Linked DNA regions of Cricetulus griseus. The protein of the gene in region 1 interacts with the protein of each later gene in a pairwise test. Links are inferred from orthologs where the notes say so. Each region holds a gene or a part of one and is shown in the gene's direction. Other genes may lie near its edges. The genes, in order: CUNH9orf16 and Cep290.

Evidence for each region.
Region 2: the proteins of CUNH9orf16 (region 1) and Cep290 interact in binary tests that used the Homo sapiens proteins (3 or more experiments, as listed by UniProt). The two-hybrid records come from large-scale screens. The link is inferred for Cricetulus griseus from reciprocal best matches to the Homo sapiens genes BBLN and CEP290.

Annotation. Positions count from the first base shown.
Region 1 is NC_048599.1:144,108,507-144,117,470, reverse strand, and holds CUNH9orf16 (UPF0184 protein C9orf16 homolog), read left to right. Parts: upstream 1-2,389; 5' UTR 2,390-2,500; coding exon 2,501-2,579; intron 2,580-3,333; exon of another isoform or gene 3,334-3,667; coding exon of another isoform or gene 3,668-3,688; intron 3,689-5,028; coding exon 5,029-5,139; intron 5,140-5,221; coding exon 5,222-5,394; 3' UTR 5,395-5,665; downstream 5,666-8,964. Other genes in the region: Ciz1 (cip1-interacting zinc finger protein), read right to left, coding at 6,669-6,896, 7,181-7,302, 7,456-7,525, 8,469-8,618, 8,769-8,882. UniProt on the Homo sapiens protein: Essential for intermediate filament organization in intestinal cells, interacts with intermediate filament and regulates intestinal lumen morphology.
Region 2 is NW_023276806.1:166,136,835-166,145,698, forward strand, and holds the end of Cep290 (centrosomal protein of 290 kDa), read left to right. Parts: intron 1-1,800; coding exon 1,801-1,942; intron 1,943-3,330; coding exon 3,331-3,404; intron 3,405-4,099; coding exon 4,100-4,194; intron 4,195-6,633; coding exon 6,634-6,713; intron 6,714-6,845; exon of another isoform or gene 6,846-7,377; coding exon 7,378-7,608; 3' UTR 7,609-7,685; downstream 7,686-8,864. Other genes in the region: C1H12orf29 (uncharacterized protein C12orf29 homolog), read right to left, coding at 8,023-8,211. UniProt on the Homo sapiens protein: Involved in early and late steps in cilia formation. Its association with CCP110 is required for inhibition of primary cilia formation by CCP110.

The DNA of each region.
Region 1 (8,964 bases):
CTATCAGAACAATACTGTGCTTACTGCTGTTTTGGCTGGTACCCCTAGTCAAGCCCAGGGCTCACCTTGAGGGCAGTATGAACTTCTCCATGCCTCACCTCCAAGGGGTATCTTATACTTGGTCACCTGGCCAGGTCCCAAATGGGCACCCCCTCTGGAACTGGGAAGTTGGAAGAGCCTGGAGGGGTTATGAGGTACAGTCACCACACTCTCATCTGGATCTTGTGATTGCCAGGAGTCTGCGGCCATTTCTCTCCCCGCTTGCCAGAATGCATGAGGTTCCAAATGAACCCCTCTTTCCCATCACACATATATACTGCCCCTTTCACTTTGGCTGAGAGGAAGAGTGTGTCTAGATGGTGACTAGCCCTAACCTCAGCCCTGCAAGGGTGGGGGGGGACAGCTCAGCAGATGGTGTTGAAATCTAGGCTGGACTTCAGGAAGGGAGGAACAGAGGCTATGTTCAAGCCCAGAAAGGTTCCAGAATGAGATGTCCTGGTTAAAGCCTCAATGGCTAGCCATGAAAGGAAGCTACACCCCACACACTTCACTCCTGAGCTCCAGTCTGAGTCCAGATCTAGTTTCTTTCCTTTGAGTTAGAATCTTACTATGTATCCCTGGCTGGTCTGGATCTTTATATAGAGAAGACTGGCCTTGAACTCATAGAGCTCTGCCTGCTTCTGCTTCGAAGAGCTGGGATTAAAAGTGTGTACCACCATGTCCAGTTTATTTAAGTGGATGTTTTGCCTGCCTATGTGTATGTGAACCACATACATGCAGTTCCCTTAGAGGCCAGAAGGAGGAGCTAAAGTTACAGAGTATTGAGCTACCATGTAGATGCTGGGAATTGAACCTAGGTCCTTCAGAACAGTGTTCTTAAACTCTGAGCCAACTCTCCAGTTCTCTTATTTTTTTCTTTTAATGTGTGTGGTGTGGTATGTGTGTGTCTGTGTGTCTGTGTGTCTGTCTGTCTGTCTGTGTATAGATATGTGCACATGAGTGCAGGTGCTTGAGGAGGTCAGAGGCATTGGATTTCCTTGGAGATGGTGCTACAGGTGGGTGTCAACTGCTGATGTGGATACTGGGAATTGAACTGGGGTCCTCTGCAAGTGCACTGTATGTTCCCTCTCTCTAGCCTAGATCTAGTTTCTTGTGTTGGACTAAAGAAGTCAGTTTCCCATAACCTTTGCTGCTGTTGGTCTCTTCAAATCAAACTCTATGGCACAAATAGGGCTTTGTTTCCTCTTCCTGCTAATGCAGATATGAGTTTCCCATTGGCATTGAACAGGTTGCAATACATGGCCAGTTACAGCGGTATGCATGTACTCTCTTCCAGTTCCAGATTGAATTAGTTTGAATTAGCTTTGTGGTGTCCATGGGGTTGTGCTCCCTCTGGGGTTCTGGGGAAGAATCCACTTTCCTGCCTTTCCCAGATTAAGCCCCTATGCTGAGAATAGCCTGCACTCAGGACTAGCCAGGTGACACCAGGAACAAGCTGCTGGTGCCAAGGGGTCTCCTGGCTATTACAGATAGAGGAGTCCTGGTAAGTGAGCTTCCCTGAGACACCACCCTGACTCTGAGCTGGACTCAGGATTACACTTCTGAGTGCAATCTACAAGTGATTTTGGCTGGTGACTTTGTATGGGCCGCCTTTTCCCACCCAGTGCGTGGAGTGGGGAATGCCCCAAGCAGGGCTTTATCATGAAGCCTTCTCTGATGGACAGTGTCAAGCAGGGCCACTTAGCACAGACTTTCCGTGGCCCCGAGGGCACCTACAGCAGGATACAGCAAACCCTTTCCATACTGGGAAAGTGACATAGTCCTTGAGAAGGACCTCACACTCCTCTCCAATGCATGTCCTCCCTGTTTGTTGGCACGGGTCAAACACATTGGGTCTATATCTACTATCCAGGCTGGAATTTGGTCTGATCTCCACCCGTTAAGTGTAGCCTTTGAGAGCCTTAAGAGAAGTGATGGGAACAAGACTGGCCAAGATAGGACGAGGTCGTGGGTAATCTAGGCTGCACCTCAGGGAGATGGGAAGAATGCGGATTCCCGGGGACTGGGGAGGAGCGGTGCTGAGAACAGAGTTCTCTAGGCAGCCTTTGAAACCGCCTGTCTGATTCTGACCACGCAGAGGAGCGGAAACAGCAGGACGGAATCAAATAGAAGTCTCAAGCTCTAGCGGGCCAGGGTCTTTACTGCCTGGCTCGCTCCGTTGATCGCCGGGTGGGGGACAGGAGCGGAGAGGGACGCCGTTCGGAAGCGAGAGGAGGAGCCCGAGAGCGGACGGGAGCGGAGCCCTGCTTGAGGGCGTGGTTTGAGAGGATTCGGGGCGGGGTTCTGGGCGGGGCTCTGGGCGGCCCCGGTGCGCCGCTGCGTTCCACCCTTCCGGCACGGCGTTCCATCAGCTGCTTGCACCTTCCGCCTAGCTCCCGCTTTCCGCGCGGCGGTCGCTGAGTTTCATCTTTCCGTGGCCTCTGCGGCGCCCGAGCCCGCAATGTCGGGCCCCAACGGGGACCTAGGCATGCCGGCGGATGCGGGCGCGGAAGGCGAGAATGACAGCTTCGGGGAAGCAGGTGACCTGGGCGAGGGAGGGTGCTGCTGAAGTGACCTCTGCTTTGCTCGGGGTGCTGTCCTGGAATGGGGCCGGGATGGAGGCTGTGTAAGGGACTGAAGAGCCGTCCCACCCCTCCCCTGGGTGGTTCTGGAGTTGTCCCCACAGCCACCTCGGAGGCAATGGCGAGCACTAGTGAACGCATCCCTGGACGCCGCAATACTGGGGAACTGTCGCTAAGCAGCCCAGGTTACATATGGGGAAACTGAGGCGGCTTCAGACACGCTTTATCGGTTTGGGATTTGTTTCAGCCACTTTCTTCGCTGAAGGGGAGCAGGTTCTGCTTGGCCCTGCAGGTGTTGGCCTGGTGGGCGCCCCATATGCTGAGTCAGCACCCAGCCACCTGGCTTTGCTGGTGTGACCCGCTTACCAAGGACTGTGTTGGGCGCACAGCACTGCGGAAGGACTTCAGGGGAAGGGTCAGTCCACAGACTCCCTTTGCACGTTTTGGAGCCTCAGTTTTCCCATCTGCAATATCGGGTACATTGGTGTCTACTGTTTGGAGATGTGTCTGGATTAAAGGGAAAATGGGATGACTGTTCCCATTTGTTCCAGCATACAAGTTCCTTCTGAAAGTGGATAGATAGTCACACACACACACACACACACACACACACACACACACACACACACACACATTTCAAGTCTGGTCCTTACCCAGTGGGCAGGACTTGTGCAGTAAGAATGGAGTATGCTTTTGTTCTGTTATAAAAGCTTTATTGAGCTGTATGTCACACAATAGAGTTTACCATTTAAACAGTACAGTTCTGCAGACTTTCATATATTCACAGCATATCCATTATCACAACAGTTTTAGAATATTTTCATCACCCAGGTTCTGCTCTTAATGAAGGCTGCCTTCCAACTGGAGGCAGGTTGGGTCATTAGGCTTACAGTGGGCAGCCATGGTGGGGACATCATGAGGGGACCTGGTGAGGGGGCAGTGTAACACTGAGTAGACAGAGGGAGGAGGCTATCTGACCCAGGACAGGAGCAATGGTTGGGAGGTACTCTTGACATAGATGAAGCCTAGTCTGGAGACACCGCTTCTCACCTCACCGCTCTGCTAGCCTGCAAGACGTGGAAGGATGGATCATAACAGCTATGCATTAAATTCTTGCTGTGGCCAGACCCCAACTGAGCTCTTGGTGCACTGGAACCCTACCTCGGTGTTCCCTACTGCAATAAGGAGTTGCTGGGGTACAGCAGATCTGGAACTAAAACCTAAGGGTCTCTGACCTTCAGGTCTGAGTTTTGGCCCTGTCACCAAGTAGCTATGAGAAGCTGTTCTGGTTCCTTCTTTCTTAGGCTTCAGTTTCTCAATCTGTGCCATGAGGGATGGACTTTAAGACCCAGCAGTCTTCAGAGGCTCTATCCTCCTTGAGGGATGCCTTCTCTGGGAACCATCCCCCAAAGGCAGGCACGTTTGCAATCATATCCCAGACACCCTCCCTGGGCCTTTTTCTTAAATCCACCAGCTACTTCCCCACTGGTCCCAAGCTGGCAGCTAAGTGTTTCTGAGTCATGGGCTGGCTCAGAACTGTGTCCCGCAGTGGGCACAGACCCAGACCTTGGGTCCTAAAGGACATAGCATTGCCAAGAGGCATGTCAGAAGCTGATGTAGAGGAAAATAGGAAAGACTTCTCAGAGGGGGGAAGACTCCAAGGAGGAGGTATTTTGAGCTGGTCCTTGAAGGGCTGTTGTCGATGAATTCTAGATGGTAGACAGTTGAGCAAGAGCAGGGACTGGAAAGTCAGAGCTTCATTCATTCATCCATTCACTCATTCATTCAGTAAGTACTTATCTGTGTTGTCGAGGGCACTGGGGAAACAGCAGAGAACACAAGACCCGTCACCTCTCCCAGATCTTTCTAGTTGAGTGTGAGGTTGAGTACAGGCCAGCACCCAGATAGTCACAGTAGTGACTCCTGATGGGAAAACTGTGGAAGGTGGTGTCTAGAGGACCAGGACAAAGGCCTGATCCAGGGTGGGACGGCCTTGGTGATATCCATACCAAAACTTGAAATAAGTGGAATTCATCCCAGAGGGAAAGACAAGCAGGGCACCCAGTGTATTCAGAGGACCCGAGATAGGCTGAGCAGGTAGGAGGGGAGATGGGGATCAAGAGGGAAGTAGGGGCTGGGTCTGCTTCAGGGCCCAGAAGCTGCGGGGCACTATTGGGAAGGCAGAGAGAGCCACAAAAGGGCTGGAGGTCACATGCCTAGCACAGAGCCTTTGACTGCCCAGCTCTGGAACCTGGGTTCTGACTTCTAGGTAGCTGTGGAAGGAAACACAGAGGAAGCTTGGCATATGATAGGGCCACCAGCCAGGACACTGGCAGATTGCCCCAGCACCACACTAACCCTACAAAAAAGATGTGCTAAAGATGATTTGACACTTTGCCTCTTGTAGTACCTGTTAATTTCCTGCATGATGACACTGAGAATAAGAAAGTTGTGAGCTGGGACATTGGGTGCACTTGTCTGTCAGCCCTAAGGAGACACTGGACCTTTCCTCTCAAGGGTGAGCTGGGACACTGGGTGCACTGTGTCTGTCAGCCCTAAGGAGACACTGGACCTTTCCTTTGTCTTTTCCCTCCTCCCAGAGTATGCTGCCATCAACTCCATGTTGGATCAGATCAATTCTTGTCTGGACCACCTGGAGGAGAAGAACGACCACCTCCATGCCCGCCTCCAGGAATTGCTGGAGTCCAACCGACAGACACGACTGGAATTCCAGCAACAGCTTGGGGAGGCCCCCAGTGATGCCAGCCCCTAGGTGCCAGGAGCCCCCAACCGGGCCCCACCCTTGCCTCTCTAGGCCATGTTCTGGCCTGGGTAGATGCTACCTGGCTTAGACTCCATCTCAGGTACTGGCCTTCAGATCCCCCAGTGGGTCTACCAGCCTGGACCAGGCCCCACTGCCCATCATCCCTTCTGGAGCCAGGCGTGGTCCTACAACTCATTCACTTGTCTGCCTGCCCAGCTCCAGTCTCTTTCCCCTCCACCCAGGATATAGTGTCCATATTAAAGAGGCCTCCCACACCATTGCCCCTCTCTCATCTCTTTGTGCCAGGAAAAGGACACCATTAGCCACTGGAGGGCTATGTGACAGGGCTGGGGTTCTTAGTCACAGTTCATTTCTGATCCAGGGGATACAGGCAAGGCCAGAGCTTCCTCCCTACCTGGTATGTAGCAGCTGCTTCCCCGCCTGGCTGAGACAGACACACTGTGTGACTATTGGATACATTCAGTCTCTTTGGGCACTAGGGCCTTTCACCATGATAAACACCCCTAGGATCTGATGGCAAACCTTGGCAGCTTCCACTCTAGCTATAGTCTTCCCAGCTGGCACTAAAAGCCAGGCTGTCTTACCTCTAAGGGTCATTTCTTTAAATGAGAGAACAACAGGGCTAAGGCTGGGCTCCTTCACCTACTCATCTGACTCCAGATTAGGAGGCTGTGCTCTCTTGGCAAACCAAGAGCTAACCCTCAGCAGCAAGGACCACCGCCCCCTCAATCCTAACTCCACGTCTGACTGGCTTTTGTAAGGTGCAGCTGTACAGAGACCAACACAAGGACCAAGATTTTACACCTAGGGTGAAGTCCTTTCTGTTTGCCAGTCTGACTTTTGGCAAGTCACATGACCCTGCTAAGGCCTCAGTTTATCTGCAACTTGGGAATAGGAACAAGGCCATCTGCTAGGGTCACCAGCCATAAGGATTTTCTCTCAAGTTGCCTTTCTAACCACGATACACTAAGAGGAAAACTGAGGCTCAGAGAAGATCAGTGCCTTGTAGTCCTATCCCAGAGACCCTGCATCTCAGGGAGCCTGATTTTGGCTTCCCTGGTCCTCCACCACACTGTGTCCAGAGAGACTAGGTGCCCTCCCCATACCCACCCCGACACAGTGCTGGTGGGGACTGCAAAGCCAGACAACACTTTATTGAATTTTGGGTAAAAACACCAACCATGTGAACTTTTCCACAGAGACACCTAGGAAGCATCAACAGATTGGGACCCAGTCAGGCTAGGTGGCCACAGCGCCCTCTATCAGGTTTTGAGGCGAGTTGAGCGCCGAAGGGGAAGAGGGGGGCTGGGGAATCCAGGCTTCACCTTGCTCGGTATTTTCGCTGTGTCCTGGGTACTGGGCTGGCTGAGTGGGCGGCCACTGCCGCTGCTAGAGGTGAACAGCGCAGTCAAAGCATTTCGGGCGTTGATCGCACACCTGCGGCTCATGGGCCTGGTGGCAGGGCTGGGGTTCTTGGCTGCTTTGTATTTCTGGATACAAAAGTTTTCAAGTTAGGTGCAGCCTACAGGCACTCCTGGCTGGCAGCTTCCCAACTTGGGCCAAAACAGTAATCATCTGTTGTGTGACCCTATGTGAAGCTCTTAGCCTCTCTAGGCTCTGGAGTCACCCCCACCCAGACCCCCAACACACACACGCGCACACACACACAAAGGACATAACCAAAGAGCCAAGCCTAGATCTCTCCCTGCTGTGGGAGTATGCCAGTTTGAACAGAGGTTGTGTCCCTGGGCAGGACAGTCAGATGGACACTCACCTGCAGGTTCTCAAAGTGGGCCAGGGACTTGCAGTGAGAGAGCCGTAATCCTGAGTTACTGTCATAGAACTTGTGACAGACACGGCAGACATAGCCCATCACGGGCACCAGGAAGTCCACACCTGAGGGACAGACAGCAGGGGCTGCATACTCAGGTCCCCCTAAACAGCTGGGTGACACACCTTCTCTAGGTGGGAGAAGAGAAAAGCACCAGGGTTGGGCTGCCTGACTGGAGAGCTGTGACTGAGATTGGAGGGCTTAGCTTGGGGTCTTACCATATGCCGTGTTGGGGCTGTAAGTCTCTGGGCCCTTCCATTCCTCTAAAGATGTATCTCTTGATCTCACCTGGAGAGGGAATGAAGGCTCAGATATGGTGCCTCAGGCCCCACCCAAACACATGTCAGGGGCCTGCAGTGTGCCCTTAAGTCTCCAGAGCATAAGCCATCCCCTTGGCTTACAGCTCGTTGAGGGTGGCCTTCTCTAAGCTGTGGTACACGCGGGCCCTGACTATGTTGTGGGTTTCAGTTAGCTCCTTCTTCCGAGCCAAAATACCCCTTCCTTTCTTAGGCTGCTTTTTTAATGCATTTGAGTGTGTGGGGGTGTGTGTACCCAAGGCTAGTACTTGTCAAATCTCCAGAACTGGAGACAAAGGCATTTATGAGCAACCTGACATGGGTGTGGGGAATTGAGCCCAGGTCCCCTGGGAGAACAGCATAGCTTTTCACCACTGTCCTTCCTGCCCCCCTCCCCCCAGTCAGGGTCTTGGTATATAGTCCATGATAGAGCTCTCAATTTTCCTGCTTAAGCCTCCTTCGTGCTGGAGCCTCTATTGCCCCCTCCCCCTTCTACTGGAGAGTGAATCTAGGGTTTTGCACATGCTAGGCAAGCACTCTACCACTGGGCTATAGTTCCTAGTCCTCTGCCTTCCCCTCCCTACCCCTAATCCACCTGCATTTCTTTTACTTTGTCCAGAAAAAGCATGAAAATCTTATACAAAGCCTCACAGGACTGCAGACAGTCTGCTATAGCATGCCTTCTGCGTCTGGCTAAACACCGTTCCCTCTGCCCTCCCTTCCCAACACAGTCAGTATCTCAGCCAGCCCTAAAGCCCTTGCAAACTTCACCTGTCACTTAATAGCCACCCCTGTGCCTATTTCCATGGCCATGTGACACAGCCCATAACTGTGTCATGCATTTAGTGCCTATAAATGCCAGCAGTGTCTGCATCCCTCAAGGAGCAGGAAAGCCCCTCTGGCTCCAGCAGCCTCGAACAGCCCACCCCACATACCTGCTTGCAGAATTCCTCCTCAGCCTCAATCTCTTCCTCTTCCTCATCCTCTTCATCTTCTTCTTGATCACTCTCAAAGCAACCAACAGCATCCACTGTGATGAAGTGGTCCTCCTCTGGGCTGGTTGTTTCCTTTTCAAGTGTCTTCAGCTGCCCAAGGCACGGGCAAGGGGCCTAGGTCAGCTATGGGCAGCTGAGGTACCACACTGCTGAGGGTTCTAGGTCCTCTACCTGCTCTATGATGGGGGGGGGGGAAGCTTCATGCTATACTCAGGTGCAGGGGTGGCGGTGGGGAGTTACCTCCTTGGCCTTATCTTTGTGTCCCTGGGACTTCACATGCTCCACAAACTTTCGAGGGGTCTTGAAATAACGGTTGCATATGGTGCAGAAGGGTCTCAGGGATTGTTTGGCGATCTGGGGAAAGGAAGGCAGGCTATGAGGTACATTGTAGCATTCCCCCCCAGATACAAGCTACCTATAGTGGCCCAATGAGACC
Region 2 (8,864 bases), on another chromosome or scaffold:
TGGCTTAGTCCACTATTATTCACTCAACGTCTGGTCCTGCCACATTGTGTTTGTCAGGTTATTTCTAAAAAGCCAGTTGACTTAGGTTCCTTATAGAGACAGCTCCTATCACTTAGAAAGACCTGCTTTTCACTGTGACATTGCATAAATGATATCCCTTCTGAGGCTCAAGATGTTTTTAACTGTGGAAAAGAGTGACCCTGCCCTTATTTCTCTGTGGCTCTACAAGGTAACAAAAATGCTTACTGGCATGAGAAACTTTCCAGTTTTAAGACAGTTATGGGTTGATGGCTCTTTAACTGTAATTGAAGATGACTTTACATGTTAACACATACGTGAGTTCTTATTCTGAGAACTGAACATAGGCAACATCTTCAATAAACCTAAGTCCAACTTGTTTTTGAAACATTCTTGCTATTTATCCAAGCTGAGCTCAAATTCTACGTTGGCTTTCCAAGTGCTGAGTGTTCTACCTCTAATGACTTCTAGGAAGGGCGAGGGGACCTAGAAGATCTTTATTCTTGGGTGGTTATGGTAATCACTCACAGTTCTATTGCTGTGAAGGGACACCATGACCAAGACAATTCTCATAAAAGAAAGCATTTTACTGAGGGCTCACTTACAGTTGCAGAGGTTTAGTAGTCTATTGTCATCATGGCAGAAACATGATGGCATACAGGCAGGCATGTGTGGGGCTAGAGCAGTAGCTGAACTATATCGTGATCTGTAGGCAGCAGATTGGGCCAAGGATTGTAGCCAAGCAGATCTGTAGCCAAGGATTGGGCCTGGTAAGGGCTTTTGATACCTCAAAGCCCACCCCCTGCCCCCAGTGACATACTTCCTCCAAGACCATGCCTCCTAACTTTTCTAATCCTTTCATAGTTCTACTCTTTGGTGACTAAGCATTCAAATATATGAACCTATTTGGGGACTGGGGGTCATTGTCATTCAGACAATCACAGTGGCTTTTGAACAGAGAAATGGATGAAGTAGAGGAATGAGCTTCAGATATTTAACAGTAACCTTTGGTATATCTTTGGTCGTTAGGCCTTGTCAAGTAAGCACACCCTTCTAATCTGTTTGTAAGGTCTGTCCAAAATTACTTGACAGAACTTATGTAATTACTGCCCTTCCTTGTGTTGTCCTTGTCAGATACTTTTCCGAACCAATACTATCTTTGTTAATTTATTGACAAGACATGACATACTATTTTCCTCTGGAAAAATTTGAATACTGTAAGCATTATCTTCCTGTAAGTGTATGCCTGTAAAACTACTGGCATCAAATTTTTGAAGATTTCTTTTGAGACTGGATTTCTCATTTATCGTTTCCTTATTGGTTATAAATCTGTATTGCTTCATCCATTCCACAAAATGCAGTGTTTCCCTCACTCCTGCTTTTGAACAACTTGTTCCTTCTGTAGTGCCCCTTTGGGACTTTTCTACATGAACACCTGGGTTGGGGGAGGGTTCTAGATAGGAGGGAACATTTGGTAGTCTGATGAGTTAGAAACGTTCTTATGTCTGAAATAAGATATCAACCTAGAAGTTTTACAGTTGCTGAAGTCAATCTCCACCTCAGATCTTAGGCTCTTTAGGATCACTTTCATTTTCTATTTTAATTAGCACATGTTAATTGGGATGCTTATTCATCAATACCATTTTTTTTTACTGCTAAATATGTAGCCAAAGATTTGACTAGAATAATATAGTCTTGAATATTTTACTGTGCTTTAAGCTAAATTTTAAATTAGTGAAATTACATACTAATGCCCATAGTAATTTTTCTTTATATTTCTAGAATGTATGAGACCAAGATGAAAGAGCTCGAAAGTGATATTTCCAAAAAGAATCAAAGCATTGTTGACCTTAAACAGCTTGTACGAGAAGCAACAGAGAGAGAACAGAAAGCTAAGAAATACACAGAAGATCTTGAACAACAGGCATGTACATGTAATAGTCTCTAAATGATAAAACAATGTAATATATCTCAAGATAATCCCTGAATTGCCTGAAGGTGAATACACTGAACTCCTGAATAATGTCTCTCCTAGGAGACTCAGCTAGTGAATGGTACTTAACTCATCTTCTTATGCAAGCCCAAACTAGATCATCACCAATTTCATTCTCTTATTTTCCACATCTAGTGCTCAGTGTGGAAGCCATTGTCTTATACCTGAGTGACTGCAGTCATTTCCTAACTAGTCCCTGGGCTTCCACTTGCATCATTTCACCTATTCTATACTACTATTCTCCACAAAGTTATCAAATAATCCTGTAACACATAGAGCAAATTATAGTTTTATTCTGAGACTCTTGTAGTTCCCCATCACCCTGGAATGAAACTTGGTAACATTTTTTTTCATAGCCTGTGTCTATGTACAAGGTCGAACACTTTGCATCTTCTACCAGGTGTCCCAACATTAACTCTCTCAAACCTCTGAACAACTGCAACTCTATTAGGCTTCAGTTCTTTATACCTGCTTGCCATCTAGAACACTCGTCACTATCCCGAATATTCTTCTGACTCCCTTCAGAGACTAGACCAGCAGTCTGTTACCCTGTTCTCCCTGGATTCTTTTTCTGGACAGTCCTTTCTCCCCATCCTGCCCTGTCACATTCCATCTCATCATATGACAGTACAGTTGTTGGTTTTTACTCCTTGGCTCTGTTGGGGGGCCCACTACCCAAGTACCCAAATAAATCCTACATGTAGGCTTATTCTTAGTTATGAATGCCTGGCCTTAGCTTAGTTTGTTTTTAGCCAACTTTTCTTAACTTATCCCATCTACCTTTTGCCTCTGGCTTTTCCCTTTTCTTACATCTGTATATCTTACTTTCACTCTTACTCCTTGGGTGGCTGGGTGGCTGGCCCCTGACATCCTCCTCTCCTTGTTCTCTTGCACCTCCTTTTCCTTGTTTCTCCATTTATATCTCTGCCTGCCAGCCCCACCTGTCCTTGCTCCAGCCTCGCTATTGACTGTTCAGCTCTTTATTAGAACCATCAGGTGTGTTAGACAGGCACAGTAACACAGCTTCACAGAGTTAAATGCAACATAAACAAAAGTCACACACCTGAAATTAATATTCCTTCCTGAGTAAAAGTCAAACGCCTCTGTAAGATATTCCAGCTATTCTATATGCTGTGTCCTCACTACCTTGGGCAGCAGTGAGTTGCTTAAGCATTGATGGCTTGAGTGTATAGACTGGAACACAGAACTGTGGTTTCATGTTTCCAAAGACCCAAATGTTATTAAAAGTTGGTCTTTTTAGAGCCTTTTACTTCCATGCTAATCTTTTATCTCTTAACTAATGTTTCTCTGTCTCAAAGATTGAGATCCTCAAAAACGTTTCTGAAGGTGTGGAGACAGATCAAGAGCTTATCCAGGAACTCCAGCTCCTTAGGTACATGTTATTATGTTTAGTTGACTACTTAAGTATTTTTTTTAACATGTTTTCTTTTTCCTTTGTGTGTGTGAATGCACATGTGTACACAAGTACATGCTGGGGGCGGGGGTTTGGTATGTGCAGGCCACCTGTGAAGGAAAGTCAAAGGACAACTTGCAAGAGTTGGTTCTTTCCTTCAAAGAATTGAAATCCACTGAACTCCTTATTGTTCATTTGTTCTTAGAAAATTATTTTATACAGCCAAATTTGCCACACCTAAAGATGAGGAACCCAATACTAATATTTCCAGAACGTAACTTAAGTTTTTCTAGAAGCACAGAATTAAACTTTGGCATTGCAGAACCAAACCATAATGAAAGAAAACAAGTAATCCTACCTTCTGGGAGTTTGTGCAGCCTCCTCTCATTGTAAGAAAAGCACTCTTGAAAATAACATCAGGAGTGAGATTAGGATAAACTTAGAATTTGTGTTGTTTGGGAATGAAGCAATGAAGCCCAGAGAGTAAATGTTTTCCCTTGGTGATCCTGCTGCCATCTCTTAAGCATATCCTCCCAGCATACATGACCAGACTCAGCTGTGCCCTTGGTAAATGCTGTTTTGAGTACCGTATACTACTTTATAGGAAATGCCTACCTACTTTATGAACTGGCACCCAGTGCTTATTTTTTTAACATGCTGTCATTGTGTTCTAGATTAGCCAATAGTAAGCTGGATAAAGAAAAGGCAGAACTAATCCATCAGATAAAAGCTAACAAGGACCAAACTGGAGCTGAAAGCAGCACACCTGGTAATATATTTCATAAAACGTGTTGGCTATCCCAAGTTTCTGATTTAAGGCTTGTCTTTTGTTTCTATAGTATCAAATTCTTGACAAGAGTATTTTGAGCTATTTTCTCTCAGGCTATGAAAATATTCCCATTTAACACTTAGATTGCTTATACTAAGTGGCCTAAGTTTTTCTCCTCGTGATCCACCTAGGTGTTACAGTCTCAATCATAGTATATTATCAAGCACTAAATGCTGTCCTGTGCTTCCACTTTCTAAATGTAGGTCTCTGAATCCCTATGAACATATTCTTCTGAATGTTACTAATTGTTGTTTTAATTCTAAAACTACAGTGCTATTTTTTTCTATTGCAAATAAAAATGTTATTTTTATTCCTTTCAACCCCTATTCTGATATTAACAGTCATTCCCCTGTATAACAGTTACTTACAAAACATCTGTGTGTGTACACAAAATCAATTCAATGCTTTTGCAAACAGGTACAATGACAAGTTTAAACAGTCCCCCATCTTCCCACATCAGGGCCAACAAGGTAGTGCTTGGCCTTCTTGTTTCAGTTTTCCTCCAGAGGTGATCTAGGATGGAGTCCTGGGTACCACTATAGACTAATAGGAATTTGAATCATAGCTTTGACACTTTCAATGGGACAACCTCAGAAAGGTGGCTCAACACTTAGGAATGTTTTCTTTTGAGACTAAAGAAAATATAATAGGTCAGGGTGAGTTGACAATTCTAGTTATGTATATGTGTTTGCATGCATTTGCATTTCTCCTAGGAACTGTGGTTTGATATTTGCTAATTGCACCAAGATTACAGGATAAAACTTTTAACAGTTAAAGAGAACTGGCCTTAATGTATATTGATTTTTTTCTGGATTCACACTATGTATTTATAGCTTCTCTTGTAGTAAGACCTGTGCATCATATTTTTTTCATAATTCTGTAGTACACTATTGAATGGATAGTGAGTTTACCCCAGGATGGAATTTTAGTATAGTTCCAAAGCTTCTGGAATAACTACCCTGTAGCTTCTAACCTAATCATGCCATTATCTGATAATCTGATGGAAGTGTCATGTTCTACCCTACAGGATTATACCAATTTATATCTGAATAATTTTAAATTATTTCATAGAGCTACTGTAGTGTCCTGATGCTACTTTGTATTAATGCATGGTATGATTTGTGCCAGACACTATGCTAAGGACTTTACAAAATTTTCACTTTATTCTTATAATGCCATAGGATAGATATTGTTGTCTTCATGTTACATTTTATAAATGATTAATAACCTATCCTCAAGATCACAAGTAGGAAGTGGCACTGGAAGGTAATTCTCTGAAAGTTCAGAACTCCTTACCATGGCAGAATCTTAACCACTGTGCTGCTGTGCTTTTTGCTAACTAAAAATGGCATTCATCCATCTGGAATAGATTATGTGACTGCTAGGGGATAGCTGGGTGTACTTGTAACAAACACAGTAACAAAGACCTATCCTGTTGGCATTAGGCAAGTTCTCTAACTTGTCTAAACCCAAGCCCTTATGTACTTAAGAGAAAGGAGGTAAGAGAAAGGAGGAAAGGTTACATTTCAGAGAGTACCTGCTTCAACATTAACCTGTTTGGACATTGCTAAATCAACATTTAAAGATGTGGACATTTAAAACACTTTTGGAAAATGTTGTATTTTCTTGCTTTATTGTTTCACCACCACTCTGTATATAATATAAAGGAGCTCACTGACCATGGACAAACTAACAGATATGTGCATACTCATGTTATTGGGGCACTACTCATAGTAAGTAGATGATAGGATCAGCCTGTGTGTCAATCAACAGATATACTCATAAAATGTGGTGCACATTTTTAGGAAAACAGAACTACAGATCATCTTGCTCAGTAAAATAGGCCAGTCTCAGAAGACAAATATCAAATATTACATCTTTATGAGCACTACAATACACTTTTCTGTCCTTGTCATGAAACCTCACACTACCTTTCAATGATTGCAATAGTGTGATATCTTAACCCTTGTGCCCCTTGTCAACAGCTGATTTCCTACCAAACCATCAGGGCCATACTCTATCTGTGCCACACACCTTGCCTTGGAAGTTTTGCACGCAGTGAAAAAAAAAAAAAAAAAAAAAAACTAAGCTGGCTGTTATTGCCTTCTACCTCAAATATTTCGTACATAACAAATTTTACTGGTATTAGGAGGATTTTGCTCTTAAAAATAGAAATTTCTCTTATGGAATAACCCACTTTCTGTTTTCTTGCTATGGAATGACCTTACTTACTAGTGGTAGCATGCAAGTATACCTGAGAAGTGTTCCCACCATACAGTGCCAGATGATTATAGACTGTAGGCTTCATAAATTTCCTTTTTATTCTGAAATTAACCCTCTATCTTTAACTCATTCTAATTTTATGACTATTTTTGGCAGATCCTGATCAACTAAAGGAAAAGGTAAATGACCTAGAGACACAGCTCAGAAAGTCAGACCTAGACAAGCAACACTTGAAGGTAATTCTTACTTATGTCTGACTTAAGAACAGCTGTGGGAAATGGAATGTGCCCAAAAATTCATGGACTTAATTTACTTACTTTAATATAGAGAGCTTTTAGTTAGCAACAACAACAAAAAACAGACAAATAGAAAGGTCTAGAGAATAATTTATTTTTAAATTATAACAAATGTATCTCAACATGTTTTTTTTTAGTATTTTCTTAATTTGTGGGTCGTGGGTCATGGCAACAGTTTTTCTAAGTACCTTTTGGAATTACGTTCAGGATCTTTCCCTTAAAATACTTCTGTGCTTTACTTATGACGGAGCTCATGCTTGGGTAGTGTAAACAGCCAGTGTAAAACAGCCATTGGCACTCACATTCCCCTCACACGCCCCGGGATTTCCATGATCATAAATATTATAAAAGTAAAAACAGAACTTTAAAGAAAATACGACAGTAAGAAAATAAGACAGTAATCTCAATGCAGTGAAGAGCGGAGTCCCTTTTGTTTGCCTAACAGAATATCTGACACAGTTCAAAGACTCGACCTCACTATAATGGAAGCACACATATTAAGTTATTCATATGGTACAAAGGTAAATATTTTTGTATTTACTGTTCAAGTTATGTGGGTTTTCATGTTTGTTTGTAATCCAATCTTCCTATATGTGACTTTTAGGAGGAAATTAAAAAGCTGAAAAAAGAACTGCAAAATTTTGATCCTTCATTTTTTGAAGAAATTGAAGACCTGAAGTACAATTATAAGAAAGAAGTGAAAAAAAATATTCTCTTAGAACAGAAGTTAAAAAAACTTTCTGAGCAATTTGGATTTGAATTACCTAGCCCTGTTGCTGCTTCGGAAGATGGAGAAAGTCCTGGAGAAAGTCCTAATAATTTCCCTATTTATTAAAGACCCATTTTTACTACAGAATTCACATGTCAAAATACTGTATATTTGCTTAAAAATAAAATCATATTTAGTTTTAACTTGGTAGAAAAGTATATTTTTGAAGATGTGAATAACTTATGACTATACAGTACACAATGAGCTATGATATTCCTATTTTCATAATTAAATTTTCTAAAATCATAAAGGTAAGCTGTAAAATTGAAGCTTCAGATGTAATTATTTTATACTTATATTTGTGTTAAGATATTCAAGATATTAAAATCCTATAATTTTGATAAATAGATATGTTAGTTTATAAATATGTTAGTTTAGTTATGACATGTTTTACCAAATATCTAGCAAAATTAAATAGAACCTTCAGTTACTTTAACCTCTGTAAACATAGCAGAAGACTCATCAATATTAGAAAACATTTTATACATCAAGCATTATATCTTTAAGCCTATCAAATTTCTGTTTATCTTTTTTCAAAAACTGATTAAACAAACACTCATTATCAAAAGCACAGTCATATTTGTTTAGGTTCATGTTAACAATAACTGGTTTGGAATTCATGTAAGTATCTGGAAGTGGCCAGCATAAACCAAGATGATGGCGATGAACCTGTAAAGAGGAAAAAGTGGCATAAGCTTTAGTCTTTGAGTGCCTGCTACCTGCCAGGTACAGTGTAAGGATCTATATTATATTACACTTATTTTAATTAAATGTCATAGCTGTTCTTTGACATAGTGCTGTCTGCCTTTCCCATTAGAATATGAGTATTCCCATGAGAATAGAGTAGAATCAAGGGCTCCTCCAAAATGTAATGACTATAAGTCTGTTGGAGAGCTAGACTCGTGGAGTATTAGTGTAGAATGGTAGGGTGGTCAGGATCAAAGTTGGCTGGGACATTGCTGTAGCTGTTTCCTCCACATGAAAACATCCCCTCTGGAGGGAGGCTCTGGACTCATGAAGTAAGCAAACCTTCACAAGTCCTGAAGCTTTTAAGATTCCAAGATTCTCTGCAAGGGTACAGGAGCACTAACAATTGGAGTGAAGGTTCTCCTTACACCAGAGCAGGGAGTCCCCAGTATGCTGCTTTTGTGAGTTGTAACTCAAGCTGGGGAGGGCTTCTTACTGATCCTGCTGCCTCCGGGTCCTCCATGCTCCTTACCCAGATTCCTGTAAGTAGCCCCAATAAAGGCACTGGCCCACTAAGCCCCACTTGGATGGAATCCTTTCTTTCTCTGTCTTCAGTTAGATCTCTCGCTACAAAA